Canis lupus familiaris: one gene and its partners. The protein of the gene in region 1 purifies or fractionates together with the protein of each later gene. This does not show direct contact. Links are inferred from orthologs where the notes say so. Each region holds a gene or a part of one and is shown on either strand. Other genes may lie near its edges. The genes, in order: LATS2, AMOTL2 and AJUBA.

The links.
Region 2: the proteins of LATS2 (region 1) and AMOTL2 purify together in Homo sapiens (affinity purification with western blotting; 3 studies listed by BioGRID). This does not show direct contact. The link is inferred for Canis lupus familiaris from reciprocal best matches to the Homo sapiens genes LATS2 and AMOTL2.
Region 3: the proteins of LATS2 (region 1) and AJUBA purify together in Homo sapiens (affinity purification with western blotting; 3 studies listed by BioGRID and IntAct, with this or other methods). This does not show direct contact. The link is inferred for Canis lupus familiaris from reciprocal best matches to the Homo sapiens genes LATS2 and AJUBA.

The regions. Positions count from the first base shown.
Region 1 is NC_049246.1:17,175,636-17,179,755, reverse strand, and holds the start of LATS2 (serine/threonine-protein kinase LATS2), read right to left. Parts: upstream 2,904-4,120; 5' UTR 2,773-2,903; intron 1-2,772. UniProt on the Homo sapiens protein: Negative regulator of YAP1 in the Hippo signaling pathway that plays a pivotal role in organ size control and tumor suppression by restricting proliferation and promoting apoptosis.
Region 2 is NC_049244.1:31,681,442-31,685,768, reverse strand, and holds the start of AMOTL2 (angiomotin-like protein 2), read left to right. Parts: upstream 1-1,483; 5' UTR 1,484-1,610; intron 1,611-4,183; 5' UTR 4,184-4,244; coding exon 4,245-4,327. UniProt on the Homo sapiens protein: Regulates the translocation of phosphorylated SRC to peripheral cell-matrix adhesion sites. Required for proper architecture of actin filaments.
Region 3 is NC_049229.1:3,421,795-3,426,199, reverse strand, and holds the start of AJUBA (LIM domain-containing protein ajuba), read left to right. Parts: upstream 1-1,485; 5' UTR 1,486-1,857; coding exon 1,858-2,893; intron 2,894-4,405.

The DNA of each region.
Region 1 (4,120 bases):
CACTACTTTGTTTGAATACGACTTCTAAAATGAAACTATAAATCAAATAACATCAGCTTTAAAAATACTGAGAGAATAGCTGGACTTAGTGAAACTGGTAGTCCAAGCAGGGCTATCTTCAAACACCAGGAGCCATTCACAGATGCTCTGTGTAATAAAGCCCTGGTTCACACAGAATCATCCACCCACCGTATGTATAATGGGAATGGCGACACCTGGACTTGTGCCACAGAGGCCCAGTTCTGTCCAGAGAAATTATTAAGCAATAGGCTTTTGTAAAAAGGAAGGAGATTCAGAGAATTTTTTGAGCTGGAAATCAGTCACTTTCAGGATTATCAAGCCCAAGCCCTTCATTCTGCTGATCAGGATATGGTGCTCCTTTTTAAAGCAGATTTACAGTCCAGACAAAGTAAATGCACGGAGTTATCTTCTGTATTTCAAGCCATTTTTTAAAAAGTCAGTAGGGAATATTGCTTAGAAATTTCATATCATAACTATGAAATAAAATATAAAAGCAACCTTTGAAAAACAGAGTTGGTCTGGTTTATCTAATACAAAGCAGAACACCCAGCCCCCTCCAAAAGCTTTCCCAAATCTTTCCTATGTGTTTATGGTGAATTTATCAGCTTCACCACCTGCCCCCCCCCCCCCCCCCCCCCCCACACACACACAGTGGGATTTAGAAGCCTAGGGCTGGCTATTTACAACACAGCATTTAAAATAACAAGGCACCTTATTGTAAAAACATTCCCCTCCCACCAAAGGAAAGTCCCTCCCATCAACCCTGTGATTTGCTAAGGAGAGAAATATGTACAGTTCCAATTTACACTTAGGTCAAAACTATTTCCAACAAGATGGAGGGAATCCTTTCCAGTTCTAAAATTCCATGATTCTAGTAATTCACCTTAGTACTTTTGCATGATGTCTTCTGCTCAGATACCATTTTAAATTACTTGACATTTTGAGATTTATTAAATGTTTAGCAATTTTAATATCAAAGGAATACTGGTGTACTCATTAAACAGTGTACTATATATCTGGATAATGAGACCAAATTTTATGAGACGCTGAATAACATATAGTGTCTTGTTAATTATAATTTAAAACAGACTTTCTTAAACAGTCTCTGCATTCTTCTCCTGGAAGATTGTTCTGTTACTACCTTATTACGACAGCTGCTAAAGAAAAAAAAGTAAAAGATACAAGGCGGCTTAGTCTCTTGATTTAGCACTCGGAAATCGTGATCCACCATGGAAGGGATTTACGCTGAGAGTCAACGATATGGAACAAGACCTACTAAGTACAAATTTCCTAATAATAAGCCACGAATTGCTTTTCTCCGTTATTAAAGGAAGGCCCCTCATCTACTAATTTAAAGTTTAAACAGGACACCTGTACAAAGACAACACACGTTTTGTGACTTTACATTCAAATTTTAGTCCATTTAAGTTTCTTAGTAAAACGTTAACATATTTGCCGAATACTTTGGGGAGAGAGCTGTTTGGCCACCGAATTTTTATCGGCCGAATGGACAGTCTCTGGCTTGAGTACCGTTGCGCGATTTTTCAAAGGCTACATTACTATTATTTTTAGAGCACCGTCACTTATATCCTACATAGCTGTGAAAATGTCAAAGTGCTCGTTTAGGATTTGTCTTTATCAATCTACAAATAAAGAAAGTATACTTCCACGGTTATGACTGCAAGAAAACAAAATACTTGTCCCTGGAAGGGGTCAGCACGTGCTGCCTGCAGCGCCGGACACGGGCCGCGGCCTCCCGGGAGCTTCGCCGGCCCGCAGGGGTCTGTCCACCTTTCCCCGCCTCCGGGGCACCGGGGGCTCGCGTCCAGCGGACGGCAGGCTCGCTCCGGGCTGGCGCCGCCGCCCAACCCCGCCAGCGGGACTTCACCCCGAGAGACGCCCGTCCTCGAGTTCCGAGGGCAGGATGCGGAGCAGTGACGGGCAGTCCGGGGTCCGGCGGGGACCCGAGCGCACGTGAGGTTGCATCAGAAAAGAGGAGCTCCGCAAAGTCGGTGAACTGGGGCGCACGGGGAGCGTGTTACGCAACGGCCGCCGCTCTCCCGGCCGCGACCCGCGAGGACCGGGGACGCGAACCTGCAGGGGTCGACGCGGGTGGGCAACGCTGCGGCTCTGCGGGCGGCGCCGTCGGGGCGGGGGGCGCGGCGGGCGGCGGACGGCGGCGCGGCCCGGCCCGGCCCGGGGGGACCACCGCACGGGGTGCGAGGGGACGACCGCACAGCACAGCCCGCGGGCGGGCCGACGGCGCGGCCTCCGGGGACGGCGGCGCAGCGGGCGCGGACCCCGGTGCTCCGGGGCCGCCAGCAGGCAGGCGCCCGGCCCCGGTCGCGGGGAGCAGCCCGGGCCGTCGCAGCGGTGCCCCCGGCGCGGACGGCCTCTCGGGCCGCCCCAGCCCCGCCGGGAGCCCGGCGCACAACAAAGCGGCGCAGCGCCGGCGGCCGGGCGCTGCCTCCCCACGGCCCCCGCTCGGCCGACTCCGGACGGCCCGCGACGACGCGCCGCCAGCGGAGGCGGCTCCGGGCCCGGGCCGGGCGGGGGCCGTGGGGGCAGGGCGAGGGCGAGGGCTCCGCTCGGGACGAACTTCCTCGGCCGCCCTGCCGAGCCCGGCGCCCCTCCCGCAGCCTCGGCCCGAGGGTGGGCGCCCCGGAGCCCCGGGGCCCCGCCGGCCCGCGGAAACTTCCAGCCGCCCCGCCCTGGCCCCGGGCCCCACGCCCCCCGCCCCTGCCCCCTCACCTCCTGGGGCGCGGTCTACACCCTCCGGGGCGTCCCGGTCCGCGGCTCCGGGGCCTCGCGCGCCGGGGGACCGGGCGCCAGTGGCTGGAGCGGCTGCTGGCCCCGCGGGCACGGGGGAGCCCCGGGCGGCGGCGGCGCGGGCGGCGGCGGCTCCATCTTCCCGGGGCGCTCACGCCGAGGTTCCAGCGCGCAGACCCAAGTGGGACATTCGCTACATTGTTGGCATTCCACGGGCGTCACGTGACCCCGCCTCCCGCGTCACCGGCGGCCGCATACCAGCCCGGGCGGGGCGCCCGCGGCCCTGCTGCTCGGCGGCCGCCCCGCCCGCCCGCCCTGCCCCGCGCCGCTTCCTGCCTCCGGGTCCCCGCCGCCCGCCCGCCCGCCCGCCCGCCGCCACCTGCCCCGGCCGCCCCGCTCCAGGGTCGCCCCTCCAGCCGCACTACTCGGAAACTTGGTAACCCCGTCCTCGAGGCATCTCACACCAGCCTCGGCTGAGAGAGTGAGTTAACAGGCCTAGAGGAGCCACCGAAGTGCCCAAGTCTGTGTCAGCTGTTACAAGTAAGGGCAGAAGAGGACAACTTCACCCGTGCGAGCAAGTAATAAAGGACGTTCAGATATATATATCCCGATTTAGTCCGTTTTCATTTAATCAAACCCCAGAGCAATGGATATTTTATGAGAAATGTTTCCTGATGTGCAGAACGAGATAGTAACGTAGACCAACGAGTGAAACTCTGAGTCGTGCATGTCCATCTGTGGGCTGTGCATGTGGTGCAAGGGCATGTGCAGGGATGGTGCGGAGATGTGAGTACAAATAATAGCTTGCAAACGAACCCCTAACCCACTACTGGACTCTCCTGGCATCATACTTCCTACCACCTGCAGTCTGCGGCAGGTGATGGTGAGGGCTAATATTGTTTTAAAAGGCAGTCCAATTTCCTTTCCTAATACACTCTTGTGAAGTTTTTTAAACTTTTTTTGTTTTGTTTTGTTTTTTAAACTTTAATCTGAAAAGAAACCGTCATGAAGGTCATTAGCTCTGGCCGTTTTAACAACCTTAGTTAGCAATCCTTGGTGGGCCATCCTATACACTTTACTCTCTAATTCCCACCCAGGCTTTCAGCCCTGCCTCTGTCTTAGCTCTGCAAGGAAATCTTCCTAGATCCCCCAACTGTTTTCTCTCCTCTTTGGGCTCTGGTAATTAAGCCGATTATTGCGGCTTAATTACCAGAAATTGAAAATTTCATTTTTCAATCTTATCCTGTGCTCTACCCAGGCATCTTGAATGGCATAAAACCCCAGTGGATATTCTGTAATCGAGTCTCTTTTGCATTCACCTGTGTACCTA
Region 2 (4,327 bases), on another chromosome or scaffold:
CTTCGGCCCAGGGCATGATCCTGGAGACCTGGGATGGAGTCCCACATCGGGCTCCCTGCATGGAGCCTGCTTCTCCCTCTGCCTGTGTCTCTGCCTCTCTCTCTCTCTCTCTCTCTCTGTGTGTCTCTCATGAATAAATAAATAAAATCTTAAAAAAAAAAAGTAAGTAAGTAAAACTGGATGGAACTGGAGGGTGTTTTGCTGAGTGAAATAAGTCAACCCGAGGACAATCATCATGTGGTTTCACTCATGTGTGGAATATAAGAAATGGTGAAAGGGACCATAAGGGAAGGGAGGCGGGAAACTGAGTGGGGAAAAGTTAGAGAGGGAGACCATGAGGGACTCCTAACTCTGGGAACCAAAGGGTTGCAGAGAGGGAGGTGGGTGAGGAGGCTCGGGTAACTGGATGATGGGCACTAAGGAGGGCATGGGATGAGCACTGAGTGCTATACTATATGTTGGTAAATTGAATTGAATTGAAATTTAAAAAGAGAAAAGAAAAAACTGAGCAGCCATCGGTTACTTGGCTTCATCACTTCTGCTCCGCGTGACCCTGGGGCAAGCTAATTAACCTCCCTGGGCCTTGGTTTCCTCATTTAAACTCAGGGATGATAACAGAATTCCCTGGGAGGATGACTTGGGAGGACTGCCTGGGATGACGAGGCGAGGAGCGGGTGGTGGCACACCGTGCACCCTGCGTAAATTCGGGGATGCCCATTACTACCTTTTTCCAGAAATGTTGGACAGAGCGCCTGCCCGCGGGTGATTCAAGTAGTTCGGTGGCTCCAATTAACCGGAAGATTCTCAACCCAGATTCACACTTCCTGTGGAGACAGGCCCTAAAAGAGCTGGCAAAGGTGTTTGTAAACAATAACAGGGCAATTCAAGGGTGGCCGCTGGCGGTGAGAGCAGTGGGGGTTCGGAGACTCGAGCCGGACCGAGGTAGAGTCCAAGCAAGCCGGGCGGGTGTGGACATCTTGACAGTCCTCCTCCCCTTGCACACACACACACACACACACACACACACACACACACACGGGGCCCCTCTCCCTGCAGCAAAGCCCAGAACCCCTTGGGGACCCGCGACTGCCCATCTCCGGGTGTCGTTTCGCGGATGGGCTGAAGGAGTGGGTGCAAGGTGGAGGTGGGGACGGGTCGGGGGGGGGGGTGGCAATGGCCGAGGGCATGAATCCGTCCCCAGCAGCCCCGGGGGCCCACGGCGGTGGCGTGGGGAGGCCGCGGAGGGAGGCGCCGCGCGTCCCGGGGACCGAGCTCCGGGACCGAGCTCCGGGGCGCGCGGCACCGCCTCCCGGGAGGAAGGCGGGGGCCGGGAGGAGGGCGGGGAGGAGGCGGAGGGCGGCGGAGGGCGGAGGAGGGCGGCGCGCTGCGAGGTTATTTGTGGTTCGCTTTGATCCCGAGGGGGAACCTGAAACTCTCACATTCCTGGCATAGCAGCCGCCTCCGGCGCGGGCCGAGCCTGGAGCTGCGCGCCGGGGCCCGGGCGGCCAGAGCGTCGGCGCCGCCGCCGAGTGCACACCGCCACCGCCGCCGCCACCGAGCCGGGCGAGCCGCGCCGGGCCGACCACGCCGAGCACCCGCGGGCCGCAGCGGTAAGGACGGCCGCCCGGCGCCTCGGGGAGCGCGGCCCGGGAGCCACGGTGCAGCCGGAGCCCCCGCGCAGCCCGCCCTTCCCGGGAGCGGGAGCGGGAGCGGGAGCCGGAGCCCGGCGCGGCGCGGCGAGCGACCCCGGGTGCGGGGCGCCCTTGCGAGGAAGCGCAGAGGCGGCCCGGGGCCGTCCCGAGCTCTGGGCGGCCCGCGGGCCCCCTGGGGCGGGGGGAGGGGGCAGCCTTTGCGGGGAGCGGGGGCTTATGCTTCGGGTCGTGGGCTGGGCAGAGGGGCGCCGCTGCGGGTTCAAGGTGCGGGCCCTGGGGCCGATCCGGTTGGGGGCAGATCACAGGTGTCCTTGCCCCCAACCCGTCCAAGAATTCCTCTTTGTCTTCCTTGGAAAATCCTCTCTGGAGCCTCGGAACGGCTCTCACTTAGAAAGAATGCGGCCGGCCGGCCAGCCCGGTGACGTCAGCGCTGGAGCATTCGGAAAACAAAGAGGGCTCGGGAGGCCGGGAGGGAGGCGGACCCGCGACGCTTAAAGACCTTGCTGGGCCACCGGCCCCCGCCCCCCCCCCCCCCCCCCGCGCGCTCCGGGTGCTCGCGGTCGGCCGGGAGCCCGGGCAGGGCGGCATCCCTGCTGCGGTGCACGCCTCCTTAGAGACCCTCGCGTGGGTTCCGTAGGCGAGGCCGAGCCCCGGCGCGAGCCGGAGTGGTTTGCTTACCGGGGAGGGGGCGCTGGTTTTCAGGAAGCCGGGGTGCGCCGGTGCAGCGAAGGTGCATGGCCGGGTCGCGGTCACAGATTTTAGTAACGGCTCAGCCGAAAGAATGTGCATCTGAGGGGTCTGACGGGGACAAACGCGGCACAGGGGCCCCGGAGGTGCTCCCGGCTCCCAGGCTCACGGCTGCGGGGGGGACACGAGGAGCCCGTCCCGAAAGCTCTGCACGCCACCCCCCCCCCCTTCTCCCCACCCTGCTCCCCACCGTCATTCTCGGCTGGAGAGTCAGCCCAGACTGATTACTTTAGGAAATGCCCCGCGGAGGAAACTCTAGGGCGAATTGATTGCAGTTTGTTTTGCCTCTGGTAACTCTGGAGTCTTGCATCTCCACGCCTCCGGGGTGTAGGGAGAGGGGGCGGCCGATTGGGTGCCAAGAAGGATGGGCACAGAGATGCCTTCCAGACTCCTCTCCCTCTCCTCATTTCTGGGCAGCCTGGAGGGAGGAGTAGATTGGCACTGGCTGCTCTGCCAACCTACCAAACCTTAAAGGCAGCAGGGCAATGGGGCTAGTTTTGTGGCCGAGAAGGGACCACATTCTTCCCACTGACCTCCCCCCATACATAAGACCTGTGGGGATAGGGGTTTTGTTTGGTTTTCCCTGAATCTAGTTAGGAGTTTTGTGTGGGAGGAGGCTGTGGAAGGAAGCTGGGTGAGGCAGGCAGCCTCGGGACATGAGCCACTGAGAGCCCAAGCTCAGAGGGCAATACCTTCCTCAGGAGATACTCCCTGCTCTTGAAGCTTCCAGCAGCCCACCCCCGCCCCAGACTCCGGTCCCTGCAACCAAGAGCTTCTCCCTCGCTCCCCTACTCCTCCAGTTAGCTCAGATAAGTGTTACCGATGGCAAAATGCTGAGTGCCCACCCTCTATGTGGCAGAGGGCCATCGGGGTCTTTTCCAAGTAGCAAGTGTACGTGTGTAGGAGGGACAGTCCTAAAGTCAAAGACACGGTGCCGCCCTTTGTTTTTCCTGGAGCACCCATGCAGTTGCTGTCAGCACACAGACTATGACTGACCCACAAACCTTGACGGGTGGCATCTTTTTCACCTCATTTCACAAAACCATCGTCCTGTTGTAGCTTCTCCTTTGATCCCTTATTATTTGCCAAACCCGATGCATTTTTGTCCTTCCTGTTCACCTTGCAGAGTGACCGTCAAGGTCATCCCGTGACAGAGAGGGCCCAGCATGGTAAAGGTGGTAGAGGGTGGTGAGTTACCCGTGCCAAGCCTAGGGCTCAGGCATGCTACATTCTAGAGGGAGCTAGGGGCTGTCTGCCTAGGGCTTCTACTAGGCTGGACTCCTTCTTTATCACCTGCCAATGAACTGGGGCCCTGTCTACCCCTAGACTGGCCTGCTCAGTGGTTGTAGCTGAACTACTCCTGCCCTGGAGTCTCTCCTCAGCCTTTTCACTGGGAAGCTGACTGCAGAGGCTGGGTGATGGATTACCTTGGAGGTTACTGGTGGCTTTCTTTAGTAAGTCTCCGTGAATATGACTGTAACGGTGGCCCTCTGCCAAGGATTTACAGTGCACCAGCACTCAGCAGCCATCGCCTTATTTAATTTTCACCTCCATGAGGCAAGCGTTATTCCGATGGAATAACTGAGGCTCACGGGTTAGGTCATTTGCCTTAATCAGTAGGTGGCAGCACTGGCAATTGAACCCAGGCTTGTGTGACCTCCCCCCCCCCCGCCCCCATAGCCTTACTCTTCACCATTATGCTTTGGACCACACTGTAACGGAAAGCACCCCCTGCCCTCTTTCCCCTGTGCTCCCACTAATTGCTCTTCTTTCCCTCCTCCCAGGTGCCCTGGGGCCAGGTGCCACCGGCCATTGTCCAGGCAGCTGTGTACAAGGCAAGGAAGCATGAGGACGCTAGAAGACTCCTCCGGGACGGTCCTGCACCGCCTCATCCAGGAGCAGCTGCGCTATGGCAACCTGACGGAGAC
Region 3 (4,405 bases), on another chromosome or scaffold:
CCATCTGGAGACAGGAAAGGAGGGAGAGCCTTATGGTTAATTCTGAAGATGTCGCTCACAGCAGGTTCTGGATGCAACCTGATAGCTCCCCTCTGTTACTAATGCTTTCAGTGTTCCCTGCTTCTAGTCTGATAGTGAACTCTACTCTGGATCAGAGAAAAGCTGTAGGCCTGACAGGGAAAAAGAGAGGCTGATTCTCGGGAGAGATGAGGTCAGGGAGACAATGCAGTTAGGACAAAGAAGCCAAATAGTCTGTGCCAAATTAATTTCCCCAAAGATATTAACCTCCTTTGCTTCCCCATTCCCTAAGGCTAAACTAAGATTATGAAAGGTGTTCAAAATGTTGAAATGAAAATAATATGCATGGTTTGTTTGCATATAATTTTCATACTCATTTACTATCTAAATACAAAGGAATCCTTTTCCTTCTCCATTCTACCTCCTCCACCTCTTGCCCCTGATGTGCTAGTCAGGGCAAAGTCAGTTGTGCTAGTATTTAATTAGGCATGTTCAACTTCAGCCACCGTTTCTTCCTTTCCTTATTGATCTTTCTAGTATGGCCAACACTAGAAGCCTCCTCTTTCCCTTTTCCACCCTGACCATTTTCACTTGCTGGCTCTCTAAATGACATTTCTTTTCTTTCTCTTTGATACTCTTCATCACCAATCTCTTATGGGCCCACCTAGCCGGAGGCGTTCGCTAGCTCTACATCCAGGCCTTCTATCTCCATAGTCGCCTGAAACAGTTCCTAAAAAATCTCATTTCCAAACACCAGGGGGTGTCTCTATTCCTCTAGCTGTCCTACCCTGAAGATCGAGATTAGTCCCAACACTCTTCCTCACTCCTTTTACACATTCACCAAAGCTCTTTTCCTGCCTCTTCTGTCGCAGAGCTTTGGGTTCAGAGAGTGGTGTTTTCATTGCAGTTGATCTGTTGGTCTCTCATTCTGTCTGGACTTTCACAAATTTGCCTTTTTCTTGGTCTGCTCGTCCTTAGGTCTCCGCACCACCCTCTTGCCCACCCGGCTCCCCCCGGCTCCCCCTTTCTTTCGCGGTCTCCCACTGCTTCTCTACGCCGGCTTCCTCGCCCTTCTGGGCTCTTCACATACGCGTCTCTGAACCTCTTTACGTAGCTACCTCTCTCCCCGGCCCCCTCTTTACGGATCTCCCTCCTCTCTGCCACAGCGGGAACAAAGTCGCGATGCTTGCGCAGAACGAGCCCCACGTCGCCCCGTGCCCCTCCGCGCATTCCAACTGCAAACAAAGAGTTCCCCTCCCCTCCCCCACCTCCCCCGGTCCCAATTCCTGAGAGACAGAGCAGCAGCCGCCTACACCGCCCCTCGGCCGCCTCTGGCCTCCAGTCGGCGGGTCTCCACCCCAGGACGGGCAGCGCCAGCACCGCCCGCCCCCGCCGGCGTCCCGGGATCCCTGCGCAGACACCCCCTTCCTCTCGCTCTCGGCGCTCCACCCCTCCCGGAAAGTAGATCCGGCCAGGCAGACAAAAGTTTGGGAGAGAAGTTCGGTCCGTGTGGAGCGTGAGAGCGAGGGGGGCGGGGGCCGGGCAGAGCGGGGCGGCCGGGCGAGTGGACTCGGGGACAGGCAGACCGGCGGACGGGACAGCCGCGGCCGTACGCCCTTCTGGCCCCGCTTGGCTCCTGGTGCGCGGGGGGAAGCAGCCCCTCTCGCCGGGGGATGCTGCGGGATTCCCGGCGCCGGGCATCCGGGCCGCCCACTAGACCCCTGTGCCCACCCCGTGCCCCCGGGGAACCGGAGTCCGGCCGCGGGCAAAGAGAAGCGGCCGCCGAGACGCTGCAGGGTGCCGGGCGGGGAGGGGACTGGAGGCCCCTGGCCCGAGGGCATGGAGCGGTTAGGGGAGAAAGCTAGTCGCCTGCTGGAGAAGTTAAGGCTCTCGGACTCCGGCAGCGCCAAGTTCGGCCGCAGAAAGGGTGAATCCAGCCGGTCTGGGTCTGATGGGACCCCCGGGCCGGGCAAGGGGCGCCTGAGTGGGTTGGGGGCTCCTAGGAAATCAGGGCCCCGCGGAGCTACTGGGGGACCTGGGGATGAGCCGCTGGAGGCAGCCCGGGAGCAGGGCCCCCTGGACGCTGAGCGGAACCCGCGCGGCTCCTTTGAGGCGCAGCGCTACGAAGGCTCCTTCTCCGGGGGGCCGCCTCCCACCCGGGCCTTGCCTCTACCTCAGTCGTTGCCCCCCGACTTTCGGCTGGAGACCACGGCCCCAGCTCTAAGCCCCCGCTCCAGTTTCGCCAGTAGCTCAGCCAGCGACGCCAGCAAGCCGTCCAGCCCGCGGGGCAGCCTGCTGCTGGATGGGGCGGGAGCAGGCGGAGCCGGAGGTAGTCGACCCTGCAGCAACCGTACCAGCGGCATCAGCATGGGCTACGACCAGCGCCACGGCAGCCCCCTGCCCGCCGGGCCGTGCCTGTTTGGCCCACCCCTGGCTGGGGCTCCGGCGGGCTATTCCCCTGGAGGGGTGCCGTCCGCCTACCCCGAGCTCCACGCTGCCCTGGACCGACTGTGCGCTCACCGCCCCGCGGGGTTCGGCTGCCAGGAAAGCCGCCACTCCTATCCTCCGGCCCTAGGCAGCCCCGGAGCTCTAGCTGGCGCCGGAGTGGGACCCGCAGGGCCCCTGGAGAGGCGCGGGGCGCAGCCCGGACGACACTCCGTGACCGGCTACGGGGACTGTGCCGCGGGCGCCCGATACCAGGATGAGCTAACAGCGTTGCTGCGCCTGACGGTGGGCACGGGTGGGCGAGAAACCGGCGCCCGCGGGGAGCCCTCGGGGATTGAGCCGTCGGGTCTCGAGGAGCCGCCGGGTGCGTTCGCCGCAGAGGCCGCCCGGGCCCGGATGCGGGAGCCGGAGGCCAGAGAGGACTACTTCGGTGAGTGGGAGAAGTGGTTATGGACGGGACGGGACCCGTCACCGCGTCCGCTCCCCGCTGCCCGACGGCCAAACTGCCGGCGCCGGGAAGTCGGAGGCGGAGACGTGGAGCTAGAAGGAGGCAAGGGGGATTTCCCCTTCCCACCAGGTCTCAAGCGGACCCGGGGCTCCTTATTCCGGCCACACTCAACTCCCTGATTATCTCGTGAGCCCCATTTGAAGCTTCAGAGCCATCGTTTCTCGCGGCAGGAGGCCTCGTAGGGAGGGGACTAGGTGGGGAGCCAGAGCATCCCCCATCCTGCTCCCCCTCGGCGGCGGTGCCCCTGCAGGCTTCTGCGCGCCGCGCCCCCACCCGGGCCCAAGCTCCGCCCGCAGGAATTCGGGGAATGCGCGGGTGGGGGCGGGGCGGGCGGGCCGCGTGCGTGCCGGCTCCTGCCCGGGCGCTCCAGGTGCCCGCGGGCGGGGCGGGGCGGGGCGGGGCGGGGCGGGGTGGCGGGGTGCTGCTTGCTAACACGCGCCGAGCGGTGGCCGCGGTCGGGGAAATGGAGCCTGGGAAGGAGGGTGAAGCGCTCCGGGACGGAAGCAGGGACCTGCTGCGGGCTCGTCCCCATCCTGCTGGCGTGCTGCGGGCGTGGGCGTTCACGCCGAGACCTGGTGCTGTCCGCCTCGACTTTCCCCAACCTCCGGAAGTCAGGGCGTTAGCCTTGACCACCCGGACACCAGCATCCCTAGCAGGTTAACGACCCTGCGTAACTGCCAGAAATATCCTGGCCTCCAGTTTGGGCCACAACCTGCATCCAATTCCGGCTTGAAGTAGCACGTTATTTTCTGCTGCTGTTAAGGAAACCTAGTCGCTGTTTACCTTTAGGAAGTATTGATTGATGATATGCCTCAACTACCTGAGGATATTGGGATCTTTCAGGATCTTTTTAGCCAGCACCCACAGTCACCGCTTCATTATATAAAGAAATGTTAATGTGGTAGAAAGAACACAAATGGAAGGCCCAGGGCCTCTTCTCACCTTTCCCACCACCCATGTTCCTGCCCTGGACCCCATGCTCTACGCCTCTATGGCTCGAAATGCGGGTAGGGAGAGGAACCCTGCTAAAGAGGGCAGGTTGAGGCGGGGGAGGAACCCAGCCAGGGAGGGCAGGTTGAGAAGTAGCAGGGCTGCCAGGGACGGGACCCTCCTTGCCCTGTTCAACCGTGTCCTCCCATCCTAAGAGAGGAAAGCCTAGAGTAGATGATGCTTTGGTCAAGGGAGACTAAGTGACAAGATCCTTTTAGCAGTTTCCTTCTGGGGCCCATGAGAAGTGGCTGTTGAGTGGAAATAAGTCTCTTTGGGCAAGCCATCAGAGTGAAAAGGAAGAAAGGAGCTTGGACAGAATGCAGTATAATTGCAGGAAGAACCTAGGTTGTGGATATGCTGGGTTAGAGGAGGCACAGCGGACATGCCTGAGCAGTTTGTGCCTGTCTTCCCATATTGTCCAAGGCTTCCCAAAGATGGTTCTGA